Pelodiscus sinensis: one gene and its partners. The protein of the gene in region 1 purifies or fractionates together with the protein of each later gene. This does not show direct contact. Links are inferred from orthologs where the notes say so. Each region holds a gene or a part of one and is shown in the gene's direction. Other genes may lie near its edges.

Region 1 (7,611 bases):
GTAGATCTTGGATTGCACTTAAATTCAAAAAGCGATCTTGGGCTTCAAAAGGTTGGAGACTATTGGTGCAGACTCTTCCGAACCCCACCCCAAAAGCTCCAGCAACCCCAACTTAGCCAGCCATGAGGCTGCTGAAGCCGACTCTGCCTGAATCCAGCCTTGGGACACTGCACCTCCTTGTGATTCCCAGCTGGGGGAAGGAACAGAGCGTGAGCCGGGGTGCCCTGGGCCATTGTGCCTTCCTGGCAGAACTGGCTCATTAGCAGCTTGGTGTAGGGACCCTCGGGGGCACCACTGGCAGGTCCCCTGGGCCAGGGCTCTCTTACATCAGGCTGTTAGGAAGAGGGGACTGGTGCACAGAGGCATGATGCAAGAATTGCAAACTGTCCCCCTCCTCAGTGCCCAAGACCCTCATTCCCCAAGCTCCACCCCTTCCCTGCTTTTGCCCCACCCCTAGGAGGAGCAAGACTCGGAAAGAGGCAGGGGGCAGGGCAACACCCACAAGCTGCTACTCTTAGCTTGGGGTGTGGCCTGACTCATCCCCAGGCCAGGGGCTCAGTTTCTCCGCGTATGTCCATTCTTTGGGCTTGAACACCCCATAGCCTCAGTGCACAGAAGGGGGGGATGCTGGATTCTGGCACAGAACCCAAGAGATTGTTCTGCGGGGCTGGCAATGGGGGTGTCAGTCCAGTACCCACAATGGCTCCAGGGTGCAAGAAATCAGGACTTGGAATAGAACCCGGCATCTGGGCCACCCCAGCAATGCCCTTCACAGCACCTCCCGCCCCCACAATGCCCCCCTTTTAGTGCTCCGATGCCCAGATGTGTCCCACTCACCCATCCTGGGCACTGTTGCCCCCTAGGAAGCCGTAACGGTCCGTCTGGCGATAGGGGGCAGCCCCATTCAGCTCAGAGTCGGAGCCCAACGAGCTGGAGTCATCATGGCGCCCCAGGGTGGAGTCAAAGGCATCGGACAGCTCCTCCAGGGTGCTGAGGCTGGAGGAGTCAGCGGAGGACATAGGGCCGGATGCCATGCCGTGATCTCAGCACCCTGCAGGGGAGGGAGGGCAGGGACAGGGGCCCGCAGTGAGTGCCCAGCAAGGCCAGCCCAGAAACGAACATCCCAGGAGACAACCCTGAAGTATAACTTGCCAGGCCCCTCTCCCCGTCCTCTCCAGGGGCTGCCCAGCCAAGGCCCCTCTTACTCATTCCTCCCAGGGTCTGCATCACACAGTCCCTGCTCCATCTCTGCCAGGTTCTGCCCAGCTCAGGGTCCCTCACCCTATCCCCCTCAGGGTCTGCCCAGCCCAGCCACTGAACCCCCATCCTACTCAGAGTCTTCCCAGCCCAGGGGCCTGCACCCCCATCTCCCTCTGGGTCTTCCCAGCCCAGCCACTGAACCCCCATCTCCCTCAGGGTCTGCCCAGCCCAGGGGCCCGCACCCCCATCCAGGTCTGCCAAGCCCAGGCCCTGAACCTCCATCTCCCTCAGGGTGTGTTCAGCCCAGCAGCCTGCACTCTCATCCCTCCCAAGGTCTTCCCAGCCCAGGGTCCCCTCACCCCCATGTCCCTGCACCTCCACCCCTCTCAAGGTTTGCTCCATTCAGGACCTGCTCCTCCATCTCCTCCAGGGTCTGCCCAGCCCAGGGCTCCGCATCCCCATCACCCCTATGGACTGCCCCACCCAAAGCCCCATCCTACCATCCCCGCCGGATCTGCACTGCCCAGAGTCCCACATCCCCATCTCCTCCATTGGGAATGGCCCAGGGCATGAGCTAAGGGGACTGGACACAGTGGAGGTGAGTGGGAATGCGGGTCTGCCACACACCCACATCCCCTCCAGGATCTGCCCTACCCAGCCCCACACCTCCATCTCCCCCAGGATCTGCCACACACCCACATCCCCTCCAGGATCTGTCCTACCCAGCCCCACACCTCCATCTCCCCCAGGATCTGCCACACACCCACATCCCCTCCAGGATCTGCCCTACCCAGCCCCACACCTCCATCTCCCCCAGGATCTGCCACACACCCACATCCCCTCCAGGATCTGCCCTACCCAGCCCCACACCTCCATCTCCCCCAGGATCTGCCACACACCCACATCCCCTCCAGGATCTGCCCTACCCAGCCCCACACCTCCATCTCCCCCAGGATCTGCCACACACCCACATCCCCTCCAGGATCTGCCCTACCCAGGCCCCACACCTCCATCTCCCCCAGGATCTGCCACACACCAACATCCCCTCCAGGATCTGCCCTACCCAGTCCCCACACCTCCATCTCCCCCAGGATCTGCCACACACCCACATCCCCTCCAGGATCTGCCCTACCCAGCCCCCACACCTCCATCTCCCCCGGGATCTGCCATACACCAACATCCCCTCCAGGATCTGCCCTACCCAGGCCCCACACCTCCATCTCCCCCAGGATCTGCCACGTACCCACATCCTCTCCAGGGTCTGCCCTACCCAGGCCCACACCTCCATCTCCCCCAGGATCTGCCACGTACCCACATCCCCTCCAGGATCTGCTCAACCCAGGACTCTTCCCCTCTAGGGTCTGCTCAGCTCAGGGCCCCTCACCCTCATCTCCCCTCAGTTCCAGTGGAGGGCCCTGTGCTCCCATCTTCCCCAGGGTCTACCTAGCCCAGGACCCCTCCCCCCCAGCATCTGCCCATCCCAGGGCTCTGAACCCCGACCCTTCCATCCTTGGTTCCAGCCCAGAGCCCCTGCATTCCCATCCCCTGGTCCTGAGGCCCAACCCCTCTAGCCCTATGTGTACTGGAAAGGGAACACGTGTAACATCCCTCTCCCACACTCACACAGAACCCTGCCCCCCCCTTCTCTTTTCTCTCCTGCCTCCAAGCCTGGCCCCAGTACAGCTCAGGGAGGTTCCTATCGCCTCCTATTGCCCCTCCAGGAGCCCTCCCACTGAGCTGCTCCCCCGTTCCCACTCACCTCCACTGTGTCCAGTCCCCTTAGCTCATGCCCTGGGCCATTCCCAACGGAGCAGTGCCCAGGCGGTGTGGCCCTGCATCTGTCCCGTGGCAGCACCTCAGTCTGGTGCACTCCCCGTGGGTGCTGCAAGCTTATTTCCTCCGCACTGTCATTTCCTTTTGCACCTGACAGGGCTGAGGCAGCAAGCAGCATGCGGGTGGGGGAGGGGGAAGTGTATGTGGGGCAGTGCTGCCACCCTGTTTCCTGTAGCAACCCCTGCTGGCAGAGGCTGGGACTGGAGTAGCCAGGCACTCCCCCTCGCTCCTAGCCAGTGCCTCCACTCTGCTCCCCACAGCGCCCCCTGCTCTCAGAGTGAGCATCCCTCCCCACAGTGCCCCCTGCTGGCAGAGGCTGGGACTGGAGTAGCCAGGCACTCCCTCTCGCCCCCAGCCAGTGCCTCCACTCTGCTCCCCACAGCGCCCCCTGCTCTCAGAGTGAGCATCCCTCCCCACAGTGCCCCCTGCTGGCAGAGGCCGGGCTAGTGTAGCTGGGAGCACCTTACAGCTAGTGCCCGCACCCCCACAGCGCCCCCTGCTGGCAGAGGCCGGGCTAGTGTAGCTGGGATCTCCTTACAGCTAGTGCCCCACCTCCACAGTGCCCCCTGCTGGCAGAGGCCGGGCTAGTGTAGCTGGGATCTCCTTACAGCTAGTGCCCCCACCTCCACAGCGCCCCCTGCTGGCAAAGGCCGGGCTAGTGTAGCTGGGATCTCCTTACAGCTAGTGCCCCCACCCCCCAGCACCCCCTGCTGGCAGAGGCCGGGCTAGTGTAGCTGGGAGCTCCTTACAGATAGTGCCCGCACCCCCCAGCACCCCCTGCTGGCAGAGGCCGGGCTAATGTAGCTGGGAGCTCCTTACAGCTAGTGCCCCCACCCCACAGCACCCCCTGCTGGCAGAGGCCAGGCTAGTGTAGCTGGGAGCTCCTTACAGATAGTGCCCCCACCCCCCAGCACCCCCTGCTGGCAGAGGCCGGGCTAGTGTAGCTGGGAGCTCCTTACAGCTAGTGCCCCCACCCCACAGCACCCCCTGCTGGCAGAGGCCGGGCTAGTGTAGCTGGGATCTCCTTACAGCTAGTGCCCCCACCCCCCAGCACCCCCTGCTGGCAGAGGCCGGGCTAGTGTAGCTGGGAGCTCCTTACAGCTAGTGCCCCCACCCCACAGCACCCCCTGCTGGCAGAAGCCGGGCTAGTGTAGCTGGGAGCTCCTTACAGATAGTGCCCGCACCCCCCAGCACCCCCTGCTGGCAGAAGCCGGGCTAGTGTAGCTGGGAGCTCCTTACAGATAGTGCCCCCACCCCCCAGCACCCCCTGCTGGCAGAAGCCGGGCTAGTGTAGATGGGAGCTCCTTACAGCTAGTGCCCCACCCCCACAGCGCCCCCTGCCGGCAGAGGCCGGGTCTAGACTAGCTCCGTGCTCCACCTGCAGCCTGCGCTCCCACCCCGCTCCCCATAACTCCCTGTGCTGGCCGAGGTCCGGCTGGTGTCGCTGGGAGCGCCCGGCAGCCAGCGCCCCCTGCTGGCAGGGGACGGGCTGCGGAACGGCGCCCCTCCCCCGGGGCTCTGGGCGGGTGGCTGCCAATGATCCCTCCGCTCCTCTAGGTGGGGCGGCAGGCCGCGCGCTCCCGACCCGCCTCCTGGCTGAAAGCGGCAGAGCCGGCAGGTTCTCGGCCCCAGCAGCCTCCAGTCGGCCCGGACCTAGCGCAGCCAGGCGGGTGGGGGGCGAGTGCAGCAGCAGGAAGCCAGGCGTCCGGGCCTGCCCCTCCGCAAAGCCGCCATGTCGGAGGGCGAGAAACTCAACTTGGACTCCATCATTGGGCGGCTGCTGGAAGGTGCGGGGGAGGCCCGAGCAGGGGGCTGCGGGCGTGGGGGGGGGGGCTGCCCGGTTGCATCCTGCCCCCCCCCCCCCCCGTGCATAGGCTGGGCCGCCGGCCGGGAAGGGCTGCGGGAAGCCCCGGGGCTGCAAAGACCCGGGCCGGGCGCTCCGGGAAGTTCCGCGTTCGCTCCTTTGTTTTCGCTCGGCTCTTCCTGCCGGCTGGGCGATCCCGGGCGGAGGGCGGCCCCACGCGGGGCTGGGCGCAGGGAGTGGGTGGGTGCAAGGAGGGCCGGGGCTGGCCCCTACGCGGGAAGGCGGCGTGGGGGTCGCGGAGCTCCAGTGGTCTCTTCCACGCTGCCCCGGGCCCCTGACGGGTCCGTTTCGCTGCAGCCCCGTGTGGGGCGCGCTGCCCATAGGCCCCATGGAGGAGCTAGAGACTCCTATTCCTGGAGGCGCGGTGGGGGCTTGATCTCAGATGGGGGGAAGAGTGTGGCTGTTGGTGGAGGAAGAGGGGGGCAGGGAGTGGGGTGTTCCTGGCCTTTCACCCTCCCCGCCACTTAATTCCACGCAAAGAATGGGGACTATCCCCCAGGCCGGCCCCCAGCAACATTAGTTATGGGGAGCGGGGGGGAATCGAGCTCCCTTCACCCCACCCGCCCCCAGAGCCCTGCTGTGTCTGACGTCAGTTTCCTTCTTCCTGAAAGCCCTGGGGGAGTGTGGGGAGGAGCCTGAGTTCTGGAGGGCTGGGACCGGCCTGAGCAGTCCTGGGGCCAGAGTAGGTGCGGGGAATGTTGAGTAACCCCTGCTTTCCTGGCCAGCCCCCCCCCCCCCCTTGTGTATATGTGAAACGGGGAGGGGGGAGGTGTTAACCAGTCTTCCTAGTGCTAACTTCTTTGTTCCAGTGCTGCCAACAAAATGTGTGGGGGAGATTAGCTGTTACTTCCCTGATCCTTTTAACACTAGGGGTGTTGGGGGGGGAGGGGACCCCAGCTACGTTGGCCAGATTGGCAGCAGACCACTGGGGCTAGACCCTGGGCTGAAGCAGGTGCTGAATGGCAGATTATGTGATCTCCCATTCTTGTCCATCACATATTGCAAAGCAGAGGCATCGGTTCCCTGTGTCATATAAGGAAACCGAGGCACGTAAGGAAACTGAGGCATGGGGGACGGAAGCAGCCTAAGATTAGAGCAATTCAGAGGTGGGGAAAGAACCCAGCATGCCAGTCCAGCATCAGTTGCTGGGCCACCTGCCTCTCGAAGCTTGTGTATTCTGCAGTGTGCGGTGGCGGAAAGCACTCCAGTGTGACCAGTAGGGCAAGTGTGGCCTGCCTGAGAAGGAGCCACAGTTTACCTATGTACATTGCCCAAGAGCTACAGTAATTTGTCAGCAGTCCCCATCAGGTGCCTCCTTTCCCGTCTCCATTATCTTTTCCCCACCAGATGCCCCACCGGTCAGCGCCTCCTTTTTCTTTCCCGTACCTCCTGCCCACTGCAATCAGCTGTTTCAAGGCACTTAGGAGGCTCTGTGGGGGAGGAAAGGAGGGAGGGTGCGATACACTTGGAGGAGGAGGTGGAGCCGAGTTGAGCACTGGAAGGTTGGCAGCTGGAGCTGCAGCCCCGGAGTCAGTGCCCTGAGCAAGGAGTCACATATTAACTTCAGAAGAGCCACAGGTTGGCCACTCCAGAGCTAGGGAGTAGGGAATAGGCTTCCCTCTAGCATGCACCAACTCCGATCCTACTCCATGGTGGGGGGCACTGGCTGACTCAGCAGGACGAGGGAGAGGGGCTCAGGGCCTCCCAGCTGTCCTAGTGTTTGAAGAGCCCATCTGGGTTCTGGCCAAGGGGCCTGTGTGATCCCAGCCTAACTGCGCCTCCTTGAGCTGCCTGCACAGATCAGTGAGGACCCAGGCTAGGCCAGGACTCTTGTGGTGCCTTCTTCCTTCCCCCTTTGTTGGTCTTGAGTCACCTGTTAACCTGGCCTTCAAGTGGAAGGGGCAGGGCAAACCCTTGGCCTTTGGCTGGGATGTGGTACACGGGCCTGTCCAGAAGAACCTCCGGGTTCAGCCCTGTGGCCCCCTGGATCATTCCAGCATCTGTGGAGTGGCCCTGGGATCTGTGGGAGTGTCTCTGAGCAGTGCAGGAGCTAGGACCTCGACCCAGCAGACACCCACTGTTCTATGTTGCAGTGCAAGGCTCGCGGCCTGGCAAAAATGTGCAGCTGACGGAGAACGAGATCCGGGGCCTCTGCCTCAAGTCGCGGGAGATCTTCCTGAGCCAGCCCATCCTGCTGGAGCTGGAAGCGCCGCTCAAGATCTGTGGTGAGTGAGGCTGGGGGGCGGGAGCTGCCGTGGGAGAGATGATGTGGGGATTCCCTGCACCCCTTGTTTGCTGTGGGTGGAGTCCCTGGCTCAGACCGGGCTGGGTGGGAGGTCAGGGGTGGAACTGTGGCCCCCTTGCTGGCCCTTTCCAGAGGTGACTCTTCGGGGGGGGGGATTTGGAGGGTGATCCTTATCTCACTTCCTGCCCTCCCCAGGTGACATCCACGGGCAGTACTATGACCTGCTGCGGCTCTTTGAATATGGGGGCTTTCCGCCTGAGAGCAACTACCTCTTTCTGGGCGACTATGTGGACCGGGGCAAGCAGTCATTGGAGACCATCTGCCTCCTGTTGGCCTACAAGATCAAGTACCCTGAGAACTTCTTCCTGCTGCGTGGCAACCACGAGTGCGCCAGCATCAACCGTATCTACGGCTTCTACGATGAGTGTGAGTGTGGCCCCTGCCCGAGTCCCCACCACCCTGCTCCCCA
Region 2 (6,896 bases), on another chromosome or scaffold:
CTGGTTTCTATCCTTCCCCTTCTGTGCTGAGCACCACAGCCCCTCTCTGTGTCCTCCTGGGTCCCCACGGAATCTACTTGGTTTAAGCAGGCCTGCCCCTCCAATTCCTTCCTGTTCCAGTCCCTCCAGATGTGCTGAAATCTGCCCTAGTCCCGCCCCAATATAACTGGGTAAGTGAGCTTTGGGGCTAAGGCCACTCAGCAAATTGTTTCCTCCTTCCCTTCGGCCAGATGGACCCATGCGGTCGGGGCACTTCCCCATGCACACATTGCATACGCAGCGGGAGCCCTGCCGACTAAAAGTGCCTCACTAAGTATGCCCTCACGACGGTTTGGCTACAGCCCGTATCCACAAGGGCCTCCACTGGCGTGCCCTCCACGCGGACCCTTACAATTATTCTCCCTCCTCCTATGGGTTGTTCCCTTTGGGTTACCGTTAACACTTGCCCAAAGGGGCGGTCCCATCTAAAATGGCCCTCTTGGCCGCATTCGAAACACATATTCTTGGGCTCTGCCTTACTCAGTAGAGTAGGGTTACCCTCTTCGGGGCCAGCTTGCACTCTTGCGGGGTCCTCTCTTGAAGGGCTAGGCCACACGGGAGCCAATCGTTGTCCCCCACTGCCCCCCAGCCCTGTGGTGGCTTTCTCTTGATTCTCTCCGCCCTTTTGGAGCCCAGCTATCCCCCTCTGTGTGGCCGGCGTCTCTCTTTTTGATGTACCCTTCTCCTCTATTCCCTCTGCTGCCAGGTAGTCTGCCATAAAGCCCACAGCTTTGTTGAGGAGGTGAGGTGGTGTCGCCGGACCCATCGCTGCCTCTCAGTGGGCAGGATCTGTATAAACTGTTCTAGGAAGACCATCTCCACCACCTGCAACCCAGTTTCCTGATCGGGCTCCAACCAACGTCGGCTGGATTCCTGGAGCTTCTGGGCCACGGCCCTCGGGCGGGCCCGGGGGGGGGGGGTGGTAGCGCTCCTGGAGGAACCTGTCAATAGGTCTCCAGCATAACCCCTAACTGATCTAGGATCACCTCTTTGACCTTGTGGTAGTGGAGGGCCTCCTGTACCGAGAGGCTGCGGTAGGCCAACTGCACTGGCCTTGACAGATAGGGGGCCAGGAGGGTAGCCCACTGATCTTCTGGCCACCCAGGCAGTGGTTGCAACTCTCTCAAAGATCACCATATACGCCTCTGGATTGTCTGTTGGTCCCATCTTCATTAAACGTATTGGTAACTGGTACCCGCTGCCAGGGCCAGCCTCCATTGGCCCTGCTGGTCCAGGTGCCAAGGGTTCTACGGCCGGGTGCCGCTGCGGCCATCTCTCCTGCTGGATCTGTTGTTGCTCGTATAACTTCCGTAAAAGTTGCCTTTACTGTTTTTGATTCAGCTGTGTCTGTTGTTGTTGGTGCTGTCTCTTATATTCCGCTATCCATTCTAGCAGCTTGGGGGTCTCCATCTGAGACCCCAAATGCTTTCTGAAAAACCTTCCTAAATAAAGTAATAAGTCTCTCTCTTGGGGCCGCCCAGGCCCTCACCCGCACCCCACCATCAATCTATTATCACATCTATCTATCTACACCTACTCCTTTTTTTTTCTTGACCCCTCACCTCAGGGATGGGACAATACCCACATTCTCCACCACATGTAATCCTGCTGGAGAGGGGTGTACCGTCCTACCCTTCCCCCGTCCCCAGTGGTCAGCCCACCAGGCCTTAACAACATCAGTTCTGCATTCGCGGGGACCGCCAGTGCAGCGTGTGTTCCTAGTCCGCCGGCACCCTTTGCAGCGTGACCAGTACTTAAGGTTCAGTACAAGATTGGTAGGGTGAGCAGCAAGGGAAGGTAGGGGGGCTCGGGCCTGCCTTCTCTCCGAGCCCTGACGCAAAGCCCTAAGAACCAGAGGGTTTGTCCCTGGTCTGGTTGGTGGGGTTGTGATCCGCAGCACAGCAACCCACAGGCTATCCATAAGCCACGTCCTGGGCCACTTCCTACCTTCCTCCTGCGCCCTCCAGCTGCTCCCTCCAGATGGGCAAGTCTCTTTTCTCTCATGCTGGCAGCGTGCCTTTTGAACTTCCCGCCGGTGCCATGTCTGATGTAGAGAGGGCCGCAGCTTCACGCTCGGCACCTTCCCTTTACTCTCACCAGGATTGGAAGGGCTGTCCGGCATTGCCGGCAGCTGCCAAGCATGCGCGGCAAAGTCGGGGCTGGGCTTGGGGCAGTGCCTCGCTTCAAAGCTCTGGGGACGGCAACAGCTAGTGTGCAGGGCGCCGGGGCATCCCTGACACACCCTGTAATACCTACCAACTAAATATGCTTTATCAAGTATATCTTTTTGTTTTGTTAATAAAATCACCTTTTTTTAAGATGATGATTTGAGTCTTGTGTCCTGGAAAGAAACAGGAAGTCTGTCTGTGTGGGTATGTCTGCCTGCCTAAGACTGAGTGGTCAGCTACCAGAGACTGCAGTTTATTTTCTCTTTGTTTTTTCAAGCTCTCTTATGGTAAAAGAGCTTGAGCTATCCCAGGGGAAGGAATTCAAGTGTTCCTCCCCTTTTTTTAGGGTTTAAATCACTTGATGGTGGCAGCTTTTTTTTTCTCAGAGCCAGTGCATCTGTGACTCTAAGACATTTTTGTAAACAGAGTCTATGGAGGCAAGATATTTAAGGTCTCTTGTGGGCCCCTATCTTCTGCACTCGGAGTCCAGAGTGGAGAACAGCCCGGACACCAGCTAAACATGTCAGTAAGGCTAATGCTTACCTGGTAACCAGTTAACCTTTTACATCTCTACCATGTGCCCCAAGCCCTGGGTTTAGTTGTGGCAGGAATTCCAGGATCTGCCTGGAATGAGATGGTTTTCCATAACATAGAAAGGGAGAGGGCTGATCAGAGGGACAGCAATATTGTAGAGTGACTACTGGGAGCAGCCACACCACCAAGAGAGTGGCAAATTAGTTCTGGGACTTGCCATTTTGCCGGCCATCGGACTGTTGGCCCGTCCCCAGTCCCACCCCCTCTGCTGAGGCCCCACCCCCTGAGAAGGGGAGGAGGTGGGGCAGTGCACTGAGCGCTCCACAGTCACTCCGGAGCACCAAGGTGGGTCGGAAGGTGTGGAGAGGGAAGGGGAGTGTGTGTGCAGTCCAGCTCCTGGAGCATTAGGGGAGAGGAGGAAGTGGTTCCAGCCTTCCTGGCCTGGTGCTGAGGGCAATAACACTCTGCCCCCAGAATGCCTACAGTAGACGCTCTGGAAGTGGAATGTGGGCATGCATGGCCAGGTTGGTGGTTTGGGAAGGCAGCGCCTTCCCTTGCCTAAGCCATTGGATGCCCACGGACTGGTAAGTGACTCCCTGCCTCAAACTCATCCCTTTGCCCTTGAATGTGACACTGGATTGTGTGCTTTGCTAGACAGGTGGAGAAAGCCCAGCCCTGAAAACACATCAAAGGGCAGGGTGTATGGCCCCCGCCAACCCAGCCCCAGGAATATGCCAGCTTGGTCCCAGAGACATGTTGGTGTGTAGGGTGCACAGGGCAGTGGGTGGCCACCGGCCCTGCTCTGACTCCTGCACCCTCAACACCATGCCCTGAAAGATCTGGGGAATGCCAGGTAAATCTTCTAGTAAACTCTTTGTGAATTGCTGTATGATTTACAAATCATCTTCTGGAGTGCCAGTTTCCCAAACTACTTGGGAGATATTGCTGGATTCCCTTCTCTGGAATTAAGTTTTCTTATCATCAATGCAAAACCTGGAAATGATTGTGGGGAATGTTGGCCCACTAGCAATATTTACCTAGTTAACAAAGAAATGTCAGCAGTATCTGGGCTGTTTGTGTGCTTAAAAAAAAGGAACCAGTGTAGACCTATCTGCTTAACCCAGCAAAAATACATATATTGTAGTTCCAGATTGTTTTGTTTTCATTTGTGACTTGCTTGCACGTTGTTCAAAGGCCACTTAAAAACATTAACGGAGGGCGGAGGAGAGTCCACCTCATGCCTATCCTCATAGGCCTGATCCTGCAATAAACTCTCTCCTGGAGCTTCCTGTCCAAGTGAAACTTAAAGTGCAGAGCTGGCCTGACTCAGGAGAGGTCCGCTGGCGTCGGTCTGGCCTGCGGAGGATGCCCCGTGTCTGCGCCCCCGCAGGGGTGAGGCCGGAGTCAGAGCATCAGTCTCACCTGCGGCTGCCGGGCCCCCTTTCCAGCGGGGTCGCAGAGCCAGCGGGAGAGTCAACAGGAGCCTAGAGCAGGTGCACGGCCCGCGCTCAGGAAACCGCCTCAGTCCCCGCGCCAGTGGCTCAGGTCTCCAGGGAGCAGGTTGGCGCGCGGCTGTCCTGTGGCCGGTGTAACGACCGGCCCGGCCCGGGGGTGAGTGCCATGGCTACGGCTCAACGGCCGCGCGCGGCGGGAGGAAGTGACCTGCGCGCAGACCTGGGGGAGGGGACGGGGCTGGTGAGCTCGTGGCCGGAGGCGGCGCGCCCGGCCGGGCTACTGGAGGCGCCCAGGGGGCTGCAACAGGGTCACCGGCGCCCGCCCTCGCCCCTCCCCGCGGACTGGCCGTGCGGCCGGACTGCAGCTGGAGCGTGGCTCGTCCCCTCCCCGGCGGAACAAACCATTGCGGCGCGGCGCGGAGGTGAGGCACCTGTCACCCGCCGCCCGCCCTCGGCGACGGTTGGTGGCAGCGCACCCCCGCGGGGCAGACGTTGCGCAAGCCCGGCCCCCAGGGAGCCGGGGGGGGGGGGGCTGCGGCGGGGCGCGGGAGCTTCCTCCCCCCAGCTCCGTGTGCGCGGAGCGTGTCGGCGCCCGAGCCGCCGCTGCCTGCAATGGCGCTGAGTAGCGGAGTCGGAGGCTGCTGCCCGCTGACAGGCTGGGGGCGGCAGCCGCGCTCTGCCTTGGCGCGGGCGGCTCGGAGCCGGGGGCTGGGAGAACTGCGGCTCTGAGCGCGCAGCCAGCCCGGCGCGGCGTGCAGCTCCTCGCCCGGGTAAGGGGTCCGGCGCGCACTGGGGAGCGGCGGATCGGGGTGCCGCTTTTGTTTGCTTCCCCCCGCGCCGGGACACTGAGCTTTGCCCCTGGGTCGGCCAGGGCTGCTGCTGCCCGTGCGCAAGGTGGCTCCTGAGCCGGCGCGGATGGGATCCGCTCGCCTTTCGGTCCGGAGAAACGGGTTCTTCGCAGCACTTCCCCTTTCAGACAGGTTTGCTCGGTGTCGCCAGACAGGATCCTTTTACCTTACCTTAGCCTTTCCTTTTCTTTTTATTATGATCATTGCAAACATCGGCTGGAATCTGTAAAGGGGGAGGGAAAGAGAAATGATCAGTGGCTAAGAAAAAACCCTGCTAATTATACCCGCGTTTCTATAATTGGGATTTTTTTTTACAAAATTAATGATTCGCAGCATAGGTGCTGGAACTAGGACTATTGGGGGTGCTGCAGCACCCCCGAGATTAAAGCGATTTCCATCATATACAGGATTTACAGTTTGGTTCAGTGGCTCTCAGTACCCCTGCACAGCCTTTAGAGCCTTAGCTGTGTGCAACCCACTGCTGCTTGTGCATGGGTAGCTGGCTGGGCTTGAGTTTGAAGGTTTTGCTTTGGAGATTTAAGTGTGTTCTCTATCAGTAAGGTAATGAGGGGATTGTGCCTTAATAGCCACGTAATATTTCTTAGTCTAAAATGACCTCTTAGGCTTAAAGATTGGTGAATAGATGTGTAAGATACTTGATCCATAATCTTCTTGCTCTAAAGTGCTAGGTGTGACTGCAGCGGTATAGCATTCCTCCCTCTGGGTAAGGAGCACAACATCACTCATGCATTGCATTTGGAGCTTGCAGCAGTAAATGATAGCCTTAGAGAGAAAAAAGGAACCAGAAGGACACTAATGAGTGAGATTTTGCTCTCTGTTAGTCATATGTTGTTCCCCTGCAGTCCTTGGGTCTGATGTTCAGGCTGGAATCAGACCCAGTCTCATTCTTTATTTTAAACACCACTCAGAGCATCTCCTGCCCAAACTGAGAATCTCCAAATTCATTGTGGTGCATCATATCACTTTCCGTTCAGTTTATTATATTTAAAACAGTCTTTTTAGCTTAGTGACTTTGGGCATGCAGATGTGACCGGGAAGACTTAACGCTTTAGCCTGTATCTCCATGTTTTACAATACATTAGATGTTTCTATGTTCTTTGTCATTCTAAAATAATACAAGAAGTGGAAAGGGGCAAGTCTTATTAAATTTCACTTCACCATTTTATACACAGAACTATACCTTTTGGTGCAATTTTTAAAAATTCTTTAGCGCTGTTGTTTCATTGTTGAATGATTATTCATTGAATAGAAACACTATTCAAAGCATATTGGTGAGTAGTTCAGTGAAAACCTAGGTGGAACTGCAAATGTTAGTGGCTCAGGGAAGCACAATCATCAAGTTTGCATGAAATATTTCATACCCAGATACAAATAGCTTTTTCTATATATTTCTTTTTATTTTGTCCCTTATCATCTTCAGTGAAAAAAAAATTGACTGCAATGAAACTTTGGTAACATAATTTTCCTTGTAATTTTATTCTTTATAATTTTGTGTTTCACTGCAACAAATTTATTTGTGTTGTAATATGTTTGTAGCATAAATATGAACAGCACAAAATTGCCATGTTTCATAGTGGCATGTTAATAATTGGTACTTGGAAAGAAATGTTATGTGAGCATGCTAACTTTTTCACACTAACTGTTGAATCTTTAACAAATTGGGTCTGCTTTAGAATTTTAATACATATATGTGTATTTTGGTATTGATGCTGTGTGAGGGATGAATCCCTGTGGGTTTTTTTGTATTTTTTTTATTAAAATTGAAGTTATTGATTAGATGAGAAAAAATACAAATGCATAACTTGACTTTAAATGTTGTACTTTTTGTTGCA
Region 3 (7,337 bases), on another chromosome or scaffold:
AAAGGTGGCTGCCACTACGTTATCAACCATGATAACCCTAGGGCAAAACCCGCCCATACAAATACGTAAAATAAATAAAAGAAAAAAATAAATCAGTGAGTAAAAATCAATTTAAAGCCAAAGCTGGCCCAAACACCAGCCATGTCCTCCCCACCATCACCAAGAGAGAAACTCATGGTCTCACCCTTCACATATGAACTACCAGGTCTTGGATTCAATTTCTGTATGAAATTGGGGAAGATTTAAAAATATGAAAACTTTCAATACATTTAATTTACAGAATCATTATTCAAACTAATATTGATTGTTTAGCAAGTACGTCTACCGTATTTGAAAAAAAACCAAATACCCCCATTGGGAAACAGTCTTTAGATCACAATCTTTTCTCATAGCTCACCTGCTTCCCATAGTTCTGCTGCAAAGGCACCACCCTGCTGCTAAGCTATTAGATTTAAATAGATATGTCAGAAATAGGTTGGCAGGCACCCTCTGTCAAAAAGAGAAGGGAGATCAAGATGTTACCCAGTTTATGATTATTTATTACTACTACTACTGGAGGATGTTCATACTAAAAGTTAAAAGCCAACTTTTTTTGCTCTAGTCAAACAGCATGGCTACATCTAGACTGGCATGATTTTCCGCAAATGCTTTTAACAGAAAAGCACTTTTTGTGGAAAAGCGTCTGTGCCAATCTAGATGTGCTTTTGCGCAAAAAAGCCCCGATCGCCATTTTCGCGATCGGGGCTTTTTTGTGCAAAACAAATCTGTCTACACTGGCCCTTTTACGCAAAAGGACTTTTGCCCAAACAGGAACAGCATAGTATTTCCGCAAGCACTGATTTGTTACATGAGATCGTCAGTGTTCTTGCGGAAATTCAAGCGGCCAGTGTAGACAGCTGGCAGCTGCTTTTGCGGAAAAACTTGCAGTCTAGACACAGCCCATTTGTATTGTAGCAATTTAAATTTCAGGAACTGTCCATCGTTCTTTACTCAAAAATACAAACCGTATCATACAGGAACATTACCAGAAAAGAATTAACTTTGCTTGAGCGTCCCTTATTATTGTGGTGTATTGAGAGATGGATGAAAGTTTTATTTTTTCTTTTTACTGAACATTTCATGTCTTTTACTTGACATTCAGATTCACTTTTCTCCCATTCTTTCTACACATACTTGTGACTGGAGCATTATACACCCCTTTACTAACACTGCATCAGTTTATTTCAGAGGTTCTGACACACTGATGAATAGTATAAAGGCTTCTAAGTCCACAGATATGACAGTTTAGCATTCAGCTCCCTCCCTCCACACCCTTCTGAGTCCCAGTGTGCATTTAACCTTCTAGCTGTGAGAAACGTGACCCCGCACCTAAACAAGGGTAACATACACGCAGACACATGATTTTTGCTTGTCCCTCAACTGACTCTATTCAGGCTTACAGGGAAAGACACTGTAAGATTGGGGAGGGGGAGAAATACATGTCTCACTTGCTCCTTTATTTTGGTATCCTCCATTAAACGCCGACCCACAAGGGAAAAGAAGTTTTATGGTAATTTATAAAGGCACACATGGTACTGAGAGGCTTTTTGGGCTGCAATATTAACACGGTGTAACTGAAGCTGGCTTGATGTTGACAAGATAATACCACCTAGACTAATGGCAAGTGACCCAGTTATATTGAACAAGATATCATGCAGTTCTAAAATGGCAACAGGACTTTGATCGTAATGACTAATATTTTCTTCTGACTCTGAGCCTCCATATTTTTATGAAAATTTTTTGAATATGCATAACTCAAATATGCTTTATGCAAAACAGGACAAGTGAGTTATAATTCCAAAGCCTGTTATCCCAACTACATATATTCTATTTGTGTACATGTATCATTCTTGTGAAGTTAGAAATATGAAGTGCAAACCTGCTTAAGCAGCTAACATTTCTAGTGAAAGTCATTAGTGGCATTTAAGGAACTTAATGGCCTGCTGCTCAGGCCAATGATCTGTAAATGATTTTTGCTTTTCCTTTAAGCCTAAACTGTAGTGGATCCTACAAAAACATGTAACCATGCCACATTAATATACAACTATTCTATAGTCCCTGGGGGTAAGGCTGGCAGCCAGAGCACTCTTGGCCCCACTCTTGGGGAAGCCCCTTAGCACTCCACGCTGCTGCTTCTGTATCAGCTCAGGGGAGCCAGCACCAACTCCCGCCTCCCCCTTGCTATCTCTGATACAGAGGCAACTAAGGGGGGGGAAGAATGTGTGTAATCAATAAGATTAACCAATAAGCCTGGGCTTTTCAGTTAATCATGTATTCAACGACTCCTGGAATCCATCCTGTACTTGGTATTTTTCCACTGGGATGCGAGGAATGGAACAACGACTTCCTGCCCTGGGGAAATTCTATTTAAGGAATGGGAAGCAACCAATGAGTCTTTAACCGTCTTTTGAAACTATGTCCTCTCCTTTTTTTGTGTAGGATACCAGCTTCCCTCTTTTTTGTTAGATCCAGGCCACAGAAAAGATCAGCTCCAATTTGAAGAATTTTACCTGAAATAAAGGCTAGGCAGAGAAATATGAACTGTAACAATCTCTCTTAGTTTATTAGGCTTAGTTGGATTGTTTCATTTTAGATTAGTAACTTTGATTGGTTTTCACTTCTAATCACTTAAATCCACCTTTTTATACTTTTCTTTATCAAACCCAGTGTAAATAATTAGGGGGAAGCAATAACTGTGCATTAGGGATGTTAAATATTGGTTAATTGAATAGTTAAGTAACCTCATGAATTCTTACCGGTTGGTTAGTTGACTATTCTACAATCTCTGGGGGCCGGGGCCGGCAGCCAGTGCATTCCGGCCCCACTCCAGAGGAGCCCCCTGCCGCTTCGCGCTGCTGCCTCTGATATAAAGGCAGCAGCATGGGGTTCCAGGCAAGAGCTGGTCTGTGAGGGGAGCCAGTTTAAAACCCAGCTTCCTTCATGGGACACAGCGCAAGCTAAAACTGAGCTGGACTGCCTGCCCTCCCAGCTTCTAATGCATTTTAAATGCAGAGCTACAGCGGGGGTAGGTCCCAGACCCATCACAAGCCAGGCTGCCAGCCAGCTAAAATATTTACTGCCAAGTGTGGGAGGGAAATGCATGTAATCTATAGTATTAACTTATCAGTTAATCGACTACACTATTACATCCCTACTGTGCATATCTCTTTCATTGATAAAGAGAGAAAACTCTGAGCTTTCTCGGTGTAAAACTTTTAAATGAAGTAAGATAGATTTATCAGGGGTTTTGGTCCCTTTTGAGGGCTGTCCTGGATGCTGTCAAGTCCCTGTACTTGAGCCCTCCCACTGCGATTACCAGCGTCTGTTACTCTGCTGTGGGGGCTATTTTCCCAACCCTGTGCATTTGCTGGGGAAAATCAGCACATCTGGTCCAGCAGGACATGGTGCTGGGGAAGATGACAGTGGCCATGCTGGGCTCCCTGGAGCATAGAAAACACTCCAATCGTTTTAAATAGGTATGGAAACCTAATCCATTATAGGGAACTTTCTGGGTGTCTGGCTGGTGAGTCTTACCCACATGCTCAGGGTTTAGCTGATCGCCATATTTGGGATCAGGAAGGAATTTTCCTCCAGGGTAGATTGGCAGAGGCCCTGGAGGTTTTTCGCCTTCCTCTGTAGCATTGGGCACAGATCACAGCTGAAGGACTCTCTGCATGTTGGGGCCTTCAAAGTATTTGAAGGCTTCAATATCTGAGACATAGGTGAGAGGATTATTCTAAGAGGGGTGGGTGAGATTCTGTGGCCTGCACTGTGCAGGGGGTCAGACTAGATGATCATAATGGTCCCTTCTGACCTTAAAGTCTATGAGTCTAATCCGGGAAGAAAAAAAATTTACCGAACAGAAAATTATGTTTGATTGGGGGGGGGGGGGGGAAGAGAATCTTTTATCAAATAAGAGCTGGGGAAGTGACTAGGCAACAAATCCAGCCACGTTTAGTTGCGCCCCCCCTTCCCCGCAACAGTTTCCTAGAACCCCCCCCCCCCCACACACACACACACTCAGATTTGCACTGACAACTGAAAAGTGCCCGAGTAGAAAGGCTCCCGGCCCCCTTCCCGCTCTGCCCGTCCGGCCGGCCCCGTGGTCCGCCCTCTCCCTCCCGCAGCTGCCTCTGCCCCGCGGCCCCCACCCCAGCCAGCTAAGGCGCCACGTGCTCGCGCGCCCTGCCCGCGGGGGTCCGCTCAAGAGCGGAGCCGGGCGGCCGCAGCACCGTTCCAGCCCGTCCGAGCCCCACTGAGGGAAGTGGGCGGGGCCCGCCAGGAGCCACATCCAGGCAAGGGAGTGCGGGCCCGGCGCCTCACAACGATCTGGCGCGCGGCGGCACGAGAACTCGCCCGCGTTGCTCCATCCCCCTCCCGCACCGCTTCCCTCACAGCTCCTCGCCAGCAGATTCCGCCAAGGCCTGAGGGCAACCCACGCGGCTTCGTTTGTGCTAATGCGCATGCGCGCGGGAGGGGGGGCGGGGAAGAGCGCCTTGTCGTATGGCTGGCCGGGAAGGAAAGTGCGCGAGAGCGGAGGAGGCGCCCGCTACCACGCTGAGGGAGACGGGGTGGGCGTTGCCGCAGAGTTGGAACGCCGGAGGGGGCGTGGCTCGCGTGCCCCTGTTGCAAAGTGCTGCAAGGGTGGTTTGGTTTGCAACAATCTGTCAGCTGATGCGCAGGGCGGCTGCAGCCCTGAGCGCCCTGGGACGGGGCTGCAGGGAGGTGGGGCTGAATTCTGGCTACCACCCTGGAGCGGAGGGGCGCCGTTGCAGACCAGTGGGAGGGACGGAGTGGGAGGTGGGCTGCAGCGCCCCTTCAGACCTGAATTCGTTCTCAAACCAGTGCTACAGCATCGATTCCTCCAGCAGGCATCCTGAGACCCTCCAGCCTATGCAACAGCCTCCGTTCTGCCTCTTTGCAGACCAGTGACTGCAAGACCATCCAGTCTGTGCAGAAGTCCTAAATCAGCCAGCATCAAGTGTGACAATCTGGAACCCTGCTCTTGTCAGTCTTGGATCCTATAAAATCCACCAGAACAGCCTGCAATCCCCCTTGAGTCTGTGCAACAGCCTCAGACCCCTTAGTGCCTATCACAGCAGCTTGCAGTCTGCCTTCAACCCTGCAACAGCCTTGAATCTGCCAGCATCTAGCACAACTGTCTTCATCTTTCATCAGCATCAAATCTACCAGCATCTAGTGTGATAACCTTGAATCCCTCCTAAACCAGTGCAACAGCTTTGAGTGCTCCACCATTCAGCTTAATAGCCTGTTATCCTTGAATTCTCCACCCAGAGAGACAACGTATTTCTTTCCATCCAGCACATTAGCCTCAACTTTGCTTCTGGCTAGCACGGTAGCTTCCAGATTTCTGTCATCTATTGCAACAGCTTGTACTGCTTCAGCCAACGCTAGTGAACCAATTCTTGCACCATCTAGTGCAATAGCCTCACAACTCTGTCACTGTGTCCGTGACTGCTTTCATTCTGGAGTCTTATCACAAACGAGGCAGTTCTCAGTAGCTGTGGCGTGAACCTTATTACTTTACCTTCAGGAAAAATGGAGCTACGTGCTCCTCGGAAGAGCTCAAGTTACCTCTCTGATCTTCATCAGAACATGCTGAAGGCTGAAGAAGCACTGGGTCCAGGCCGGTGGTGGCAGGAGCACCACCAACCACCTAGAAGCAGTACTAGTCTGAGCACCCCATTGAAGAGCGAGCCACAACCAGGTTTCCTTCAGAGCAGCACTACTAACAGTTGTGACCCACACTTGCGGCCTATCATACGCCGACGAGCCAGGTCTTTGCCCACCTCCCCTGAGAGGCTGAAGAGTACAGCAGTGCAATGCCGTGTTCCTGGTTGCAGCAGAAACCGCAGAAACCGGGTGAGATTTGCTGATGCGTTGGGCTTGGAGCTGGCTGAAGTGAAAGTCTTTCAGGTTGGGGAGGACCCATCCATCCCCTTGCATGTCCTCTCCAGGCTTTCCATCAATTCAGATCTTTGCTGTAGCCAGGTAGATATGGAGATCATCATGCAGTGCTTGGTGCCTGACTTCCAGCAGCCTGTGGACTGTGCAGATTTCGCCACCCGCCTTCAGCAGCAGCTGGTATGTCTAGAATGTGTAACCAGCTCTGACCTGGGGATCAGTGGCACTATCCAAGTTCTCAATGTGGCCTTTGAGAAGCAAGTGTCTGTGCGCTACACCTTCAACCAGTGGAAGAGCGTGCATGAAGTGTGTGCTCATTGGCACAGCAGCAACCTTGACAAGAATGGGAAAGGTCAAGCTGATGTCTTCACTTTCTTTCTCCCCATGCCTCCTTTCCTCCTCCAGTTGTGCTCTGTGGTCCAGTTTGCAGTGAGATATCGAGTCAATGGGCAGGAGTACTGGGATAACAACCAAGGTAAGAACTACAGCTTCACCTGCAGGAGCCACCCTCTCAAAATGCCTAGGGAATGTGAGAAGAGCTGGATCCATTTCATCTGAGGAAGAAGACAAGATATGGATATAGAGTGGCTGCAATTGCTGTTGCTGCTTTGGCGTTCCTCTCTGCTTCTCTGGCACCAGAAATCCTTCAAGAGGCAATGATGTTTCAAAAGAGCTTTGGAAAGGATAAGGAGCCAAACCTGCATGGATTTACATCCCATGAGACTTCATGGGGTTCAAGGAGATTTCATAGAATGCAAATGGGGGCAGAATTTGTTCAAAGGGGCATTGTCAGGTTAATATCTCAAAAAGAAAATTGTTTGTTACTAATAATACTTAAACAAAAAAGTTCAAAATTCCAACTTATTTTTCACTGTTTTATACTGTTTAATTTTTTTGCACTTAATGGAAAATAGGTTAGCTTTACTTTTTTGTTATAGTGTCGTTTGTAGTATTACACTGGTTATTGAGTATAATTCCAATGCTGCAAACACTGCAGGACAATGTTTATATGCAAATTATTTGTATTCTTGTTTAAATACATGCATATTTCTATTGATATTTGGTTTCAGTATTATTTAACAAAACCTAACTATTGATCAGAAGCTACCTGATGGTGTCCCCGTAAATAAGGTTTTAACCTGATTCTCTCTTTCTCTCTCTCTCTCTCATTTTTTTATTTACTGTGCTTGCCATTGATAGAGTCAGAGTGATTCTTGCTAAATTGTGTTTCTTAAGCCATAAGGCTGGCCTGGTTGGGGAAAAGCCTGATATTTTCAAGGCGAGGTTCAAGCAGTTCTTTGGATAAAGTTTTAAAATAGAAACTCGCTTCTTTCTTGCATAACTATATTCACTACATTACACCAAAGCAGTTT
Region 4 (7,927 bases), on another chromosome or scaffold:
TCCAGGCACACAGCGTATGGGTGGCCCCGCCCCCGGGTGCCCGGCAGCCCCAAAAGGTTGGGGTCCACTGATCTGTCTGATTTCATTCACAGGCCTTAATGTGCTAGGCTCTGTGCGCACAGAACGTGCAACAGACAGCCCCCGCCCGGAAGAGCTCACTATCTATCCAGATGAGGGAGGGAGACTGAGGCAAGGGGAGGGGAAAGGTTTTGCCAAATTCACAGTCCAGTGAGTGGCAGGGCAGGGAACACACCCCAGGGCTGCAGTCCAGAGCTCTACCCACTAGGCTGTGCTGCTTCTCAACCCAAAGGGAGGAAAGGAAGACAAACCTAGGGGGCACTGACGTCACATGGGTTACGCACAGTTGGCCCCGCTCGTGCTTCTCAAGATGGAACGAGATGGGGGTTGGGGTTGGCTCCTGATGACTGGAGCTGAGGCTGGGCCTCCCTCCCCGGATGAGTGGAGAACGGTGGGAGCAAAGCGAGGGGAACAGCCGTACTGGCGGCCATGTCCCAGCCCTATGGTGCGCAGGGCTGCCCAGTGTGGGGAGGGATCGGCAGCACTGATGGGGCAGCTGCCTGTTCTGTGATTTGCTGCGGAGCAGCCTCCAACGTGGGGCTGGGAACCCAGTGCCCCTGTGCCTCAGGGCTGGACGGGCCCCGTACATGGGCGCAAACCCCGGTGGGTTGGCAGCTGGTGACCACGCTGGCCCTTTATGACAGTGGAGGCTCAGCGGTGACAGGTTTAGCTGCGGTCCCAGGTGAAAGGAAAGAGGGATACAGGGAGCATGCGACTAGGCGTGTGGCCTGTTGGGAGACACAAGGGCCGCCTGGGAGCAGCATTCAGCAAAGAGCGATTCCAGGAACAGTAGTATAGGGCTGTCACGTCACGTCACTTTATGACAGGCTAAGTGCAAACCTGGGTTGTGCTGAGCATATAGGAAGAGACGCTGGGGAGGAAAGACAAAACAGGCTGCACAGTAGGGTACATAACCCCATTCTTTAGGTAAATAACCCCATTTTTTAGGGCCGTAGTACCGGAAACCCCCAGAAGAGGGTGGCTTTTAATACTCCTTCCCTCTTTTGCAACTCCCTGTATTGAATTTACAAGGAGGAAAGTGTGAGAGAAGGGATGTGATTTAACTCCTGTGTCAGACCAAGTCTGTCCCCTAGGTGTGGGAATTGTGGGTACTGATGGGGGTGCTGCAGCTCCCCCAGTTTTTGTGCAGGGTCCTGGCCACCAGGCTGTGCTCAGAGTCCCTGGTGCACCTGGGAGCCTGGCTGCAGGACTCTCCTTCCTGGAGCACTGTTCCCAGCCCCACATGTGGACCCTGGCTGCAACTGGACTTGCACCCACAGCTCTGTTCACAGCTCCTGGACTCTGTCTGTGGGGTCCTGGCTGCTCCTGGCCCTGCACTGAGGCTCTGTTCCTGGCCTCGCACATATGGCCCAAGACATGGTCCCTTTACCCCTCTGCATCCCCCACCCCCCAAGAGCTACAGGCCTGCTCCTGGCCCCAACTCTGGGAGGTGGAGGACACAGACAGGAGTAAGGGGGTGGGGTGAGGTAAAAAGTCTGGGGTGGGCCCCACTGGCTTTCAGGAGACCCGCTATAAAAATGTTCCAGTTTGTCCCACAATGCACACGCCCACGTTAAGGCCTGCAAAATCGAATGCTGAAGGCAGCTCCAGTTGGCGCCGGTGCTCCGCACAGTCTGGAGGAGGAAGGGACGCCGACGGGAGCATCTGGTCCCATTGGCTTCCCACTGTGAAAAAGAAGCCAAGCTCGGATTAAGGTACGCCGACTCCAGCCACGTATTTTATGTAGCTGAAGTCGCGTACCTGCAGCTGACCTTCTGGCTCCAGTGTAGACCTGGCCTGAGTCCTGCAATGCCGTGGGGCCAGGGTTCACTGGCTCTGGATGGTGCTTGTCATGGCAGCTTGCTTTCTCTTTAGCAGAATGAAGTTGTGATTTGAGGCCAAAAACGTGCTGGGTCTAGCCGGATCCTTGTGCCAAACGTATATTTTCCATCTGCTGCTCTAGAAGCCTGTTTTTTTTTTTTCTGGTCAGCTGGATTAGAAAGTTTATTTTCTTTATTGATGGTTTATTGATTGATGGCTTGTGACCAAGAATGGGTAAGATCCAGCTGGCTGTGTAGGTGCTAAATAGGTGGTTTTCTGTGGGGTGCATTGAGATCTGCATTTTTCAAATTGCAAAATACCAAGTGTGAGCAGGATCTGAAGGAATGTGTCCCTTATAGCTAGTTGGAATGGGAGAGAAACCCTGGGTGTGTTTATTACGTAAACACCGCTTGCTCCTGCTTTGCTTAGATTTGCTAGTCAGCAGATGGAGTGGTATTGCGCTCATTGTAATCCACGTCATTTGTAGCCCAACACCCATTGGCTACGTCTAGACTGGCATGATTTTCCGCAAATGCTTTTAACGGAAAAGTTTTCCGTTAAAAACATTTGTGGAAAAGAGCATCTAGATCGGCACGGATGCTTTTCTGCAAAAAAACCCCGATTGCCATTTTCGCGATCGGGGCTTTTTTGCGCAAAGCAAATCTGAGCTGTCAAAAGCTTTGCACAAAAGGACTTTTGCCCGAACGGGAGCAGCATAGTATTTCCGCAAGAAGCACTGATTTCAGACAGTAGGAAGTCAGTGTTCTTGTGGAAATTCAAGCGGCCAGTGTAGATAGCTGGCAAGTTTAGTCTTGCTAGTCTAAACACAGCCATTATGTTTTCCAGGTATCATAAGGGTGTCATAAGGAGGAGGGAGAAAACTTGTTCATCTTGGCCTCTGAGGATAGAACAAGAAGCAATGGGCTTAAACTGCAGGAAGGGAGGTTTAGATTGGACATTAGGAAAAAGTTCCTACCTGTCAGGGTGGTCAAACACTGGAATAAATTGCCCAGGGAGGATGTGGAATCTCCATCTCTGGAGATATTGAAGAGTAGGTTAGATAAATGTCTATCAAGGATGGTCTAGACAGTGCTGGGTCCTGCCATGAGGGCAGGGGACTGGACTCAATGACCTTTCGAGGTCCCTTCCAGTCCTAGTATTCTATGATTCTATGTTTATACGAAATGCAGGGGGAGCTGAAATATGGTTACTGATGTTTTTAGTTTTGGAGGACTCCAGAAAAGCAGGGCTGTGCTAAATTGTTCCACATGAAAGAGCTCACAGCAGAAAGATTCTTGCAAATGTAGGGGCTTGAGTGTCAGAGCTCTGAGGGTAAGAGAAGGTTATCCTGGTCAGGAGGTGATGTGGTTTCCCCTGCCTGGACTGGTTTGACCTAATTCCTCCCACTGTTCAAAGAGCAGAGCTAAATAGACATCAGTAGGTGCCTCTTTTCTTATATTAATTGTGTTGGAGTTTAAAGACTAAGGGGGTAGCCTTGTCCTGACTGCTCATTATATAGAGGGTTTTTTTTAGGCTCTAAGACCTCGTTTCTCAAACTGTGGGTCACGAGCAACTTAGAGGAGGGTCCAGTATCAGAAAGTTTGAGAACCTCTGCTCTAAAGTTACGTCTACACAGCAGCATTATTTTGGAATAACATCCGTTATCCCGAAATAACTATGTGAGCGTCTACACAGCTAACCTGTTCTTTCAAAAAAAAAATTCGAAATAATGGGCAGCTTATTTTGGCCTTTGTAAACCTCATTTCATGAGGAATAACGCCTGTTTCGAAACAGCTATTTTGTTCCACTGCTACTATTTCAAAATAGCTCCTCCCCAAGGCATTCAAAATAATTACTCCCCATGTACAGATTGACATACACTGGCCACACACACAGAGGCTATACACAATAGAAATGTAAAGTGGACACACACAGCAGCAGAGACACACACACTGGCCACACACAGCAGAGATGCACACAACACACACGGATACACACACAGGCTGTACACACCAGACACACACACACTGGCTACACACAACACACATGGATACACCCACCCACACCAGAGACGCACACAACACACATGGATATACACCCACCCACACCAGAGATGCACACCACACACATGGATACACACACCCACACCAGAGACACACACCACACACATGGATACACACACCCACACCAGAGACACACACAACACACATGGATATACACACCCACACCACAGACACACACTGGCTACACACAATACACATGGATACACACACCACACCCACACCAGAGATGCACACCACACACATGGATACACACACCACACCCACACCAGAGATGCACACCACACACATGGATACACACCCACACCCACACACTGGCTACACACCACACACATGGATACACACCCACACACCCACACACCGGCTACACACAACACACATGGATACACACACCCACACCAGAGATGCACACAACACACATGGATACACACACCCACACCAGACACACACACACTGGCTACACACAACACACATGGACACACACACCCACACCAGACACACACACACTGGCTACACACAACACACATGGATACACACACCCACACCAGACACACACACACTGGCTACACACAACACACATGGACACCCACACCCACACCAGAGATGCACACAACACACATGGATACACACACCCACACCAGAGATGCACACAACACACATGGATACACACACCCACACCAGACACACACACACTGGCTACACACAACACACATGGACACACACAGACACACACACACTAGCTACACACAGCACACATGGACACACACTCACACAGGTTGCACACACCAGACACGCGCAGCAGGGACGCGCACGCGCACATGGACACGCCCCCCACTTAGGGACGCCGGGGCGGGGCCTCGTGACATGTGGCGGGTCCCAGGGCGACGCAGCCTGCGCTCGGCCCCGCCCCCGCCGCGGACTTAAAGGGCCAGCAGCCCGGCGGGGGCGGGCCAGGCTGTTTGGGGCGCATCACGTGAAGCTGACTATTTGTCCGCGGCCTCTTTCATTAGTAGCAGCAGATTCGCGCCTTGTTTTCGAGCCCCAGCGCGCGTCCGGCGCCTAGGGAGTAGGCAGCCGCCTCAGGGGGGCGCATCCTCAGCTTCCCCTCCCCCCCCGGAACGCGCCCCCAGTGCCGCGCCGAAAGTGCCGCGCCGAAGCCTCAGCCGCCTTCGCCCGGTGCTGGCGGGCTGGCCGCCGCCGGGTGCGTGCGACGACTCGCAGCGGCTGATTCGCTACGGAGACGACCCTTTACCGGAGCGTCCCGCGGCGGCCGGCCGGCCCTGCCCGCGAGGCCAGGCGGCGGGATCTTCCCCTCCTCGGTGCCGCGGCGGCGGGCGGGGCCCCGCGCCGGGCGGGCGGCCGCCGCCCGTGGCGAAAGTGCGGGCCGCGGATGGGCAGGCCGCTGGCGCACTCCGCGGGCGGCGGCTTCTCTCGGGTCCGCCGCGCCAGACCGCGGCTGCGCTCGGCGGCGGTTCCCCGGCGCGCGGCCTCCCCTCGCGGCCCAGCCCTCAGCCGGGCCTGCGCGGGCGGGGCGGGGGCGCCCGCGGAGTGATGCCGCCCGGGCCCCCATGAGGCGGGGAGCCATGGAGCGCGCGCCGCGCCCCCCCCGGCAGCCGGACGCGGAGCCCTGCGCGGGCGCGGAGGAGGCGGGGGGCGGCCGAGCGGGGCTGCAGCCCCCGGGGGGGGCGGGCTTGGCTCGCCTGGAGGAGGCCGGGCGCCCCCCCCCGCCGCCGCCCAGCTCGCAGGCGGCGGGGGGAGGGGCCGCCCCTGCCGCCCGGGGGGGCTCGGAGCGGGGAGCGGAGCCGTCGGAGCGGGGAGAGACTCTGGCCGGGAGCCACCCGCTGCAGGAAGCCGCCTCGTGCCCGCCTGCGGAGCGGAGCAGCGCGGCCGCCGACAGAGGATGCCCGGAGGAGGAGGAGGAGGAGACCTCCCTGCCGCAGGGGAAGCCGGCCTCGCCGCCGTCCCGCCGCGGTGCTTTGGACTCCGACGCCCCCAGCCCGCAGGGCGACCCGCGCGTGGAGCCGCCGTGTGAAGAGGGCAAGCTGAAGAATGGAGCAAAGCGGGTCACGTTCCCTTCCGACGAGGACATCGTGTCTGGGTCTGTGGAACCGAAGGATCCCTGGCGACATGGTAAACTTTGCAATTCACTCGCGCTCTTCTTCTCAGGCTGGTTTGTGCAAATGGTATATTGCCTGAATCGTCCTTAAAACACAACACAGAGACAAGCACCTTAAACAAAATACAGGGCTATGTAGCACTTTATGTAGCACTTTGAAGACTAACAAGATGGTTTATTAACCATCTTGTTAGTCTTCAATTCACTCGCGCTCTTCTTCTCAGGCTGGTTTGTGCAAATGGTATATTGCCCGAATCGTCCTTAAAACACAACACAGAGACAAGCACCTTAAACAAAATACAGGGCTATGTAGCACTTTATGTAGCACTTTGAAGACTAACAAGATGGTTTATTAACCATCTTGTTAGTCTTCAATTCACTCGCGCTCTTCTTCTCAGGCTGGTTTGTGCAAATGGTATATTGCCCGAATCGTCCTTAAAACACAACACAGAGACAAGCACCTTAAACAAAATACAGGACTATGTAGCACTTTATGTAGCACTTTGAAGACTAACAAGATGGTTAATAAACCATCTTGTTAGTTTTTAAAGTGCTACATAGTCCTGTATTTTGTTTCAGCTACACCAGACTAACACGGCTACATTTCTATCACTAAGCACCTTAAAGACTAACAAAACACGTCGATGAGATCGTGAGCTGTCCTGGGTGCAACCCACTTCTTCAGATGACCGGAGAAAGAAGTGGGTTATGCCCATGACCGCTCATGATACCAACATGTTTTGTTAGTCTTTAAGGTGCTACTAGTCTACTTGTTGTTTTTTTAAGTTTTTCCTGTTACAGACTAACTTGGCTACCCCTCTGAAGCTTCTGAATAGTCCTGTTAACTTCAGTGAGGATCTGTCCGCGTGTTAAAGGGAATTGTTCCCAAATGAAGCAGAACACTAAATTGCTTATGTTTGTGGTATAACAGGAAACTCGGAGATGACTTTTCTATAAAATGTTTAAATATGCTTTAAACAGAACTAAGCAGTTTGTTTCAGATTTATACAGCTGTACTACCCATTTGGTCCTTTGAGTGTACACAGGATCTTTATAAAAATTAGTCAATAGTTAAGAGGAGTTTTGACTAACATTAAAGACTAACAGATTTATTTGGCCATAAGTTTTCGTGGGCAAAGACCTACTTTGACTTTGTGGTTCTTTACCCATGAAAACTTATGTCCAAATAAATCAGTTAGTCTTTAAGGTGCCACAGGACTCGTTGTTTTTGCAGATAAAGACTAACAAGGCTACCCAATCAATAATTAGAATCCAGTGACAAGAACTGAAAGCTAAACTGATATTTATTAAAACTTAAAATACAATGATGGTCCTGTAGCACCTTAGAGACTAACAAAATATATGAGTAGTGTCCGGAGCTTTTGTGGGCACAGCTCACGTCTTCAGATCCATATTTGTTGTCTGAAGAGGTGTGTTGTGCCCACGAAAGCTCATGATAATATTTATATATTATTATTAGTCTCTAAGGTGCTGCAGGACCTTTGTTGTTGAAGTTTTTTTTAATTTCAGGCCAACATGGCTACTCCTCTGTGATATTTATTAGTTATAATATGCCGGCCTTTTAATGTAAATGGCCATTCTGCACTGTTTTAAGCACTTTCCTGATCCAGGTGTCTGTAGGACTGAAGATTTGAAAAAATGTAACTTTGTCAGTAGCACAACTTTTTCACACTTTGTAGTTGTTGAAAATAATACCCTTGTTTAGCAGTCCTCATGTTGTTGTTGTTTTTTTTTCTTCTGATTTTTGCATGACTGACTTAGGAAACAAGCAAACTTGGTCTCCTGGAAATGTAAAGAAATAATGATCTCTCCACTTCGTAATGTTTTATCA

Evidence for each region. Proteins that work in one complex are often made in the same cells at the same time.
Region 2: the proteins of PPP1CA (region 1) and PPP1R9A purify together in Homo sapiens (affinity purification with mass spectrometry; 3 studies listed by BioGRID and IntAct, counting the BioPlex papers as one, with this or other methods). This does not show direct contact. The link is inferred for Pelodiscus sinensis from reciprocal best matches to the Homo sapiens genes PPP1CA and PPP1R9A.
Region 3: the proteins of PPP1CA (region 1) and PPP1R3D purify together in Homo sapiens (affinity purification with mass spectrometry; 3 studies listed by BioGRID and IntAct, counting the BioPlex papers as one, with this or other methods). This does not show direct contact. The link is inferred for Pelodiscus sinensis from reciprocal best matches to the Homo sapiens genes PPP1CA and PPP1R3D.
Region 4: the proteins of PPP1CA (region 1) and PPP1R37 purify together in Homo sapiens (affinity purification with mass spectrometry; 3 studies listed by BioGRID and IntAct, counting the BioPlex papers as one, with this or other methods). This does not show direct contact. The link is inferred for Pelodiscus sinensis from reciprocal best matches to the Homo sapiens genes PPP1CA and PPP1R37.

Annotation. Positions count from the first base shown.
Region 1 is NC_134714.1:127,062,095-127,069,705, forward strand, and holds the start of PPP1CA (serine/threonine-protein phosphatase PP1-alpha catalytic subunit), read left to right. Parts: upstream 1-4,608; 5' UTR 4,609-4,765; coding exon 4,766-4,820; intron 4,821-6,990; coding exon 6,991-7,122; intron 7,123-7,337; coding exon 7,338-7,568; intron 7,569-7,611. Other genes in the region: TBC1D10C (carabin), read right to left, coding at 838-1,042, 1,560-1,575, 2,966-3,151. UniProt on the Homo sapiens protein: Protein phosphatase that associates with over 200 regulatory proteins to form highly specific holoenzymes which dephosphorylate hundreds of biological targets.
Region 2 is NC_134712.1:211,751,474-211,758,369, reverse strand, and holds the start of PPP1R9A (neurabin-1), read left to right. Parts: upstream 1-3,882; 5' UTR 3,883-4,352; exon of another isoform or gene 4,353-4,617; intron 4,618-4,736; exon of another isoform or gene 4,737-4,965; intron 4,966-5,030; exon of another isoform or gene 5,031-5,175; intron 5,176-5,215; exon of another isoform or gene 5,216-5,266; intron 5,267-6,896. UniProt on the Homo sapiens protein: Binds to actin filaments (F-actin) and shows cross-linking activity. Binds along the sides of the F-actin. May be involved in neurite formation. Inhibits protein phosphatase 1-alpha activity.
Region 3 is NC_134728.1:11,448,746-11,456,082, forward strand, and holds PPP1R3D (protein phosphatase 1 regulatory subunit 3D), read left to right. Parts: upstream 1-4,323; 5' UTR 4,324-5,598; coding exon 5,599-6,522; 3' UTR 6,523-7,021; downstream 7,022-7,337. UniProt on the Homo sapiens protein: Seems to act as a glycogen-targeting subunit for PP1. PP1 is essential for cell division, and participates in the regulation of glycogen metabolism, muscle contractility and protein synthesis.
Region 4 is NW_027465849.1:7,336,482-7,344,408, reverse strand, and holds the start of PPP1R37 (protein phosphatase 1 regulatory subunit 37), read left to right. Parts: upstream 1-4,913; 5' UTR 4,914-5,527; coding exon 5,528-6,089; intron 6,090-7,927. UniProt on the Homo sapiens protein: Inhibits phosphatase activity of protein phosphatase 1 (PP1) complexes.